Danio rerio: one gene and its partner. The protein of the gene in region 2 purifies or fractionates together with the protein of the main gene of each other region. This does not show direct contact. Links are inferred from orthologs where the notes say so. Each region holds a gene or a part of one and is shown on either strand. Other genes may lie near its edges.

What was found.
Region 1: the proteins of stx3a (region 2) and sybl1 purify together in Homo sapiens (co-immunoprecipitation; 3 studies listed by BioGRID and IntAct, with this or other methods). This does not show direct contact. The link is inferred for Danio rerio from reciprocal best matches to the Homo sapiens genes STX3 and VAMP7.

The regions. Positions count from the first base shown.
Region 1 is NC_133189.1:9,605,838-9,609,672, forward strand, and holds part of sybl1 (vesicle-associated membrane protein 7), read right to left. Parts: intron 918-3,835; 5' UTR 893-917; coding exon 747-892; intron 461-746; coding exon 403-460; intron 330-402; coding exon 192-329; intron 1-191. UniProt on the Homo sapiens protein: Involved in the targeting and/or fusion of transport vesicles to their target membrane during transport of proteins from the early endosome to the lysosome. Required for heterotypic fusion of late endosomes with lysosomes and homotypic lysosomal fusion.
Region 2 is NC_133176.1:48,092,434-48,096,227, reverse strand, and holds the end of stx3a (uncharacterized protein LOC571872), read right to left. Parts: intron 3,209-3,794; coding exon 3,098-3,208; intron 2,375-3,097; exon of another isoform or gene 2,187-2,374; coding exon 2,109-2,186; 3' UTR 2,101-2,108; intron 1,231-2,100; 3' UTR 626-1,230; downstream 1-625. UniProt on the Homo sapiens protein: Potentially involved in docking of synaptic vesicles at presynaptic active zones. Apical receptor involved in membrane fusion of apical vesicles.

The DNA of each region.
Region 1 (3,835 bases), on a different chromosome or scaffold from region 2:
AATAGTATCTTCAAAACTATTTGGTAAAATATTATTTACTGTCATCATGGCAAGGATAAAAATATCTTAAAAAGTATATCGGCCTCCGATTCTAAAGAGTCATCGATTATCTGTATCGGTCAATAATTCCATATAGGTGCACCCCTATTGAAAGTGTACAAAACACATACAAAGATGGCAGACGCACGTACCATTTGTGCAGCCAGTGTGCTGGAAAACTCACTGTTCATGGCGTAGGGCAGTGCGGTCTGTGCTCGAGAGCCATATGTGGTCTGAAATCTCTTTTTTACCTCATTGAGGAAGCCAAACGCACGGGACCGCTCAAACTCCTGAAAGAGAGACAAACGGTTAAGTGTGTGAATGGAGCTGGAGAGAAGCTGAGATCATGTGACGGATACTCACATCATCAGTGATGCACAGATAGACAATCCGCTCATGGCAGATGTAGTGGAAAAGATAGCTGAGAGAAAACACAATAGAAACACTTTAAATCAGCACAAAGAATCGCTGGTAAAGTATTCACAGCACATTAGAAGTGTTTCCCAACCCTGTTCCTGGAGACACAATAACAGTACATATTTTGGATGTCCCCCTTATCTGACCTATTCATTTCAGGTTTTCTCTCCTAACGTTCTGATGAGTTGATTGAGGTGTGTTTGATTAGGAAGAGGTTAGAAATGTGTACTGTTGGTGTGCCTTTAGGAACAGAGTTGGGAAACACTGCATTAGCAAAATGTCAGTTGTACCTGCCGTGAGAATATGTGAGCTTGTTGTTTTCAGATGGGATTTTGGCCAGGATCTGTTCAGTCACTTCCAGAAAGTTGCCAGAGAAACACGCATGCTTAGCTAGAACGGTTGATCCTCGAGCCACCACGGCAAACAGGATAGCCATCACCACTGATAAACCTTATCGAACACTGGAAGATTTAAAAACACCCTCATGTCAAAGTAAATTAAAACATACATCATTGACCTTATTTGGACTGATTCAGCTTTGGTTTGGTTACATTTTGATTGCAGTTAGTTTATTTGGTTTGGTTACATTTTGTTTCTTCGTGCTATTGAGAGTTTGGCTTTGAAAAAATGTTTTAGGTAATGTTATTAAATCAAATTTTATTAAATTGGTATGAAAAAAAGTATTGTTCAGGAACTTGTATCAAATTCAACCAGTATAGGTATTGCAATGACAAGATATATACAGTTGAAGACCAAGTTATTCAGTAAAATTTTAATTCTATTAAATATTTCCCAAGTGATGTTAATAGGAGAGAAGATGGTTTCAAGAGTTCACACTTCGATATTGCTTGACGCTATTAGCAGGTTTGGCATGCTGTCCCGGTAGATAAATGAGATAATTGAGCCCAGGGATCCCGTCTGGTCAATGATCATGTAAGGGTGTAAAAGATCAGGTAGCTCTTAAGAGCTCCACCTGGTTAAGGAGAAAAGTGGGAGATGGGGTGGATGAGGGGGATTCTTCAAAAAACGAAGATAAGGGAGTGAGGCTAGACAGGATATTTATAGTGAGTTTGGAATAATCCGATTGGTTTACTAATGATTACAGATGAGAGTCAGCCATGATCAATAATATCACATGCTCCTCTTGAAATTAGTTTGTGAAACTTCACTTAAATAATGGTGTAACTAATATATCTACTTTTAATATAACTATTTGCTTTTGTCTTTGACAAAAAGGCAGTCCTTATTAGCTGTTTTGCAATATAATTGTACACAACAAATCGTTTCAGCATCAGTATGGCAATGTGCACATTCACAATAGTCAAATCGCAAGATACGCAATGGTGAGTCTGAATTATAGTTGACCAAGTCCTACAGAAATGTATTTAATTACTGTATTTATATAGAATTTATTTTTAAAAAATGGATTAGTCCAAATATCTACATTTCAAAGTGAAAACAAGATTATTTTGCTTACCCCACAGGCAGATAACTTAGCTTGTTTAAAGTAAAAATGTAATATTCTGAAGGTGAAAACAAAACAACTTGCTCTTACATTTTTTTAAATATTTGAACTAAACGAGACAAAGCAAAGTAAGAAAAGCCTTTTTTCATTGTAATTATTCAATTTCTGAACCCGAATACAGTTAGTTTCCCTAGAAAACCATCACATATAGAGCTATTTAAACTATCTTTAACAATGTTTGTACATTTAAAAAACTATACACAATCTAGCCAAATTAAAATGATTAAGACTTACAATAAATACAGAATCAAAATTTCACAGGAGAGCTAATTATTTTCAACTATATGTAAATGTTGTTGCAAAATGGTAAGCCATTTGGTTTTTCATTTTAAATTTGTAACCAGGTACATCAAACATGACAGAAAACAAAACTTTCAAAAATGCTACTCTTTTCAGATACTGTAATTTTTTTTTATAAATACTCTTTAAAAACATATAGATATTTTGAAGAAAGCTGAAAATTGTACAGACATTGTGAGCCCCTCGTTAAATTATTTACAATATTCCCAATTCTTAAAATGTGTAATTAATTATTAATTTGGGCACATTACCAGCATTATTGTTTTTATTATAATTTTTATTATTATTATTATCATCTGCCATTGTAACCTATAATCAATTATGATGAACAAAATCAAGTCCTGCCATACATCTTTTTTTTTCTCTCAATTCAGAAGCCGTTATCTTTTGGCTATATATCACAATAAGGAAGGAAATACTATCGTAACTTCTGTTTCAGTTATTACTTAAAAAGGCATTTTTTCATTCACAGAAAAAACAGCACAACAATATTATAGTTTTTAAAATAGTATTTATATTAACATTTAAAGGTTGTAGCCAGTGTCTAAGCATTAAAAAGCTAATCACACCAAATGCACATCAATCATTGGACGGAAATGGGGGAAACACATTTGAGGAAACAGTTTGCTGAACCATAGTCTAGAATTCAGTCATGATTCTAGGAAACAGCAAACCAGCTTGTGATCAAATCACTTGACTCTGATCCCGTCTCCTTTTTCTGCATGCTGACTAAACAACTGAACATAAATCATTTACATAATACATTTTTAGCAAACTAAATAATAGAAATTCTGTACGTTTTTATTTCTGTATTTTACTACTTTTAATCAACCTTATGCAAAAAATGTGTTATTCATGTAAACAAAAAACTTAGTCCTGCTTGCTGGGAGCTGCTTTCAGTTCAAACCTAAAAATGCAAGTTCACTTTATTCAATAATGTGTTTTGTATTGATTAATCATTCATTTACACAATTTATTCTATTTTAAGTTACTAGTTCATTAATACAGCAACGTTATATAATTAAGGTAAAGTTGGTTTAATATTCACACATTCTGACTTTCTCCTTAATAATAACATTTCAGAAAAGTAAGCAAATTCTAAATGCCAATCACTACTGAAGTACAACATTGTTCAGTCAAATAAAGTGCTAATGTTGTCTTCAAGTCATAATCACATGTGATTTCAGACTGAATATTCAAAGTACACTGCAAATTTTAGATAGTAGATTTAACTACCTTAGAGTTAAAATTAACACTCCCTCAGAGTTTATATAGGAACCACTATAAGTGTTAAAAATAACACTTTTGAAAGTGTTAACATTATCAACACCAAGAGAGTGTTGATTAGCAAACTCTTATTGTGTAAAATATCTGTTAAACTTCCGAAAAAATACCAGCAGCTGTGGTTGCCAGAATCTTTCTGTGAAAAATATGGAAGTTTTATAGAACTGTATAAATGTACGAAATATAACCATGAACTAATACAGTGTTTAGTTTACAAAATCATAGCTTAGTGCACAAAAATGTAAAGTCTTTAAATGCAATAATGTGTTC
Region 2 (3,794 bases):
TCAGCTGTGTTTGATAGGGTTGGAGCAAAACTGTGCAGAGCTGCGGCCCTCCAGGAATTGAGTTTGAGACCCATGATTTAGAGGCAACGAGTGGTGAATTAGCCTTTGATGTGACGACTGCAGCAGAGAGGGTTTTGTAATAAAGACTAACACTTTCTATTTAGGATGTGACATGAATCATGCTGCACTGGAAGAGTCTGAGCAAACAATCCAAATCTTTTTGTCTGAAGCAAAACAGGGCATCGGTTTACTGTCAGAGATTTACTGCTTATGTCATCCAGTGTAGACAGAATTGCTAATTATTAAAGCATTACTGTTATCCAGTGTAGATAAAACCACTACTTAAAAGTATGACTGTCATCCAGTGTAAACAAATATCCATAAATTAGCAGTTTTTCATATTTTTTGTGATTCAGGGTTTTATTTTTCCCTGTTTATTTGTTTTTTAATTGCATTACGGGACCTAAATCTTTCTTCCAACAACTTTTAACCTTAAAAAGTTAGAAAAAAAATCACTTTTGTTAACAATTAATAGTTTAAAGTAATATATTGTCTGGGTCAGTGTTGTATATAAAGCTACAAAAACCTTGTAATAAACTGCCAGAACATTTTCTGGTATTTTACAGACTTATATTTCTCTATACATTATTTCTTATAGATTATATTATTTCAAACTACAAAAATGTCAATGAAAGCCACTTTGTCAAACAGTAGAGTTGAATTTTCAACATCAAAAGTGGACAGAGCAGAGATCAACATCCTATAATGCAATTCACAACCATAAATAAACAGAAAACACTTGTGAATCCCAAATTACAGAAACTGTTAATTATCAGAAATTTTGTACACTGTAGACACAATGTAAGCGGGCACCAGTATTCATCAGGATGTTTCACTTGTCAGTTATAAAAATGAGGCCTCGAAAAACAAAAATGTTATCCTCATACAGGCTATATCCAAAACCAACTAAAAATAAAAGCAAATATTTATACCACAACCCTAAAAGATAGCTTGCACACCACATTTTACTGTGATGCTTCTAATAACGCAAGGCCAAATGATGAGACAGGAAAATCGTAAAAGACAAATATAGAGATGGGAAAATGAGATAAACAAGCAATGGAAAACATGTTGTGTGTTTGGGAATGCTTATTGTTCATCGGCACGAGGATGCTCCTCTTGATTTGTTGATAGACACTGTGAACTTGTAAGAGTAGACAAAGTCTTCCTCTGGGAAAACAAATCAAAACAGGATGTTACTCACAAACTTTCAACAAACACTACCTGACAAAAGTCTCGTCTATCTAAGTTTTAGGAACAACAAGCAAATAATTGACTTCTAGTTGATCATTTGGTATCAGTAGTGGCTTTTATGAAAGGCAAAGGCCTCTAGAATACGCTTATTTTACCCAAATAAAATATGATCATGCTTTGATTTTTATTTATTTAATTAGGTCTGACTTTGCTTAAACAAAAGTCTTGTCACTTAACAGAAATACTGTACAGCAGTGGAAAAAGTGTTAATATTGTGTATGACTCCCACGAGCTTGGAGGACTGCATCCATACATCTCTGCAATGACTCAAATCACTTATTAATAAAGTCATCTGAAATGGCAAAGAAAGCTTTCATGCAGGACTCCCAGAGTTCATCAAGATTCTTTAGATTCATTTTCAATGCCTCCCCCATCTTACCCTAGACATACTTAATAATGTTCATGTCTGGTGACTGGGCTGGCCAATCCTGGAGCACCTTGACCTTCTTTGCTTCCAGGAACTTTGATGTGGAGGCTGAAGTATGAGAAGGAGTGCTATTCTGCTGAAGAATTTGTCCTCTCTTGTGGTTTGTAATGTAATGTGCAGCACAACTTGACTGATTTATGTGAGATTTCTTTGTCCATGCGGGTTCCAGTAGGTCTTCTGCAGTATATGTGATGTTTGGGATGCAGTTCAACAGATGATTCATCTGAAAAATCTACCTTCTGCCACTTTTCCAAACGATCAACTAGAAGTCAGGTTATTATTTGTTGCTTTTACAGCTGTGATCAACGACAAGTCAGGTAGTGTACTGTTCATAAAGTAACTTAATCATTAATATTCACCTTGTAGTCTATGTCAGCCAGCTGTAGACCAGAGAGCCTCCGATGACCGCAAGAATTGTGCAACACAACATGATCATCATCTTTTTCTGCAGGGGTGTAAGTGATCAGGATATAAAGACAGTGAAGGGAAGCAAAGGGAAAGGATGATTGGGAAATGTGTAGAAAGCAGAGTTGAAATCACGTAGAAGAAACAAGACATCAGTGCAAGAAGAGAAGTAAAAAAACAGAAGAAATCAAAGGGTAATGAATAATAATAAGAAGAAGAAAAAAAACCCTGCAAAACATGAAATGCAATTTGAAAATCTTAGAAACTAGTAGTTTACAGAATGGGAATGTGTCCTCACAGCGCAATGCATTCTGGAAATTTGGGAAACGGGAACATGGATCCTATTGAGCTCTATAGGTTTATCATCATTTCATTATATACACTGACTTGCAATAAACTGTAAGTGCTCAAACCACAGTTAGAGAAGAAATTATATATAGAAATGTTTTCTTGCAGCAGCTTATTAATACGCTGTCACTTACGAATAGGTTGGTTCATTTTAGCGCTGGAGAACTATTATATTACAGAATGCTTGTTTTAAGCTACTCAGACACACAACAAGTGTTTATAAAGCTAGTGCTGTCAAACAATGGTGACTAATAGCATCAAAAATAACAGTTTGTATTTACATAATGTATGTCTAAGGTGTATAAATGTTGTGTATCTATAAATAAAAGTATTAAAAAATTCTACAAAATAAATAAATAAATATATATATATATATATATATATATATATATATATATATATATATATATATATATATATAAATGTATTGTAAATAAAACTGCTTTTTTTTCTGTGGTGATTTGCATTAGTTTACATTTGCTGGAAAATATTTGGCAACGCAACTTGCAGATTCCCATTCTCCATTCATTATATCCATGAACATAATACACAGATAAAGATTGTTTGTTTTATGACACAGTTGCTGTACTCGTTCAAGCTCACCCTGCGTGCTTCCTGTTGGAACTTGGCAGCTTTTTTAGTGTCAGCCACAGCTCTTTCCACAAAACCCACCGACTGGTCCATGTTGCTCTCAATCCTGTCAATCATGCTTCCCTGTCGACAAATATAAATATTAAATGCTTAAATCTATCTCAAACCTGAGCGAAACAACATATAAAAGGTCTCCATTAAAGGGATAGTCCACCAAAATTGAAAATGCTGTCATCATTTACTCACTTGTTCAAAACCGATTTCAGCTAATTTGTTTATGGTCAATGGCAAACAGCGTTTTTAACAGCATGTTAATAAGAGGTTATGAACACATAACTGCCAACACTCCCATTTCATCTGGGAGTCTCCTGTATTTCAGACCCATCTCCCGCCACCCTCCCGTTTTGTTATTTCTCCTTAAAAACTCCCGTAATTTCACAACCCCCCCCAGCCAACCCCCCCCCAAACCCCCCACCCCCAATCCTCAGCTTTCTGGTACAGTCTATAACACCCCAGGATCGCCGACTTTGCTATAGTATCCAATCGCAGCGGCTTCACGAAACCCGGTCCATAGTAGTAACTTACGGTAGCTGTGTTATTCAAACACCTCACCCTCTAAACTTAGACATTCCCAGCACTCCGGCTCTCCCCTCCCCTGTCTATTTTCAGAGACAAATGTTGGCAAGTATGTATTAACATGCTTTTAAAA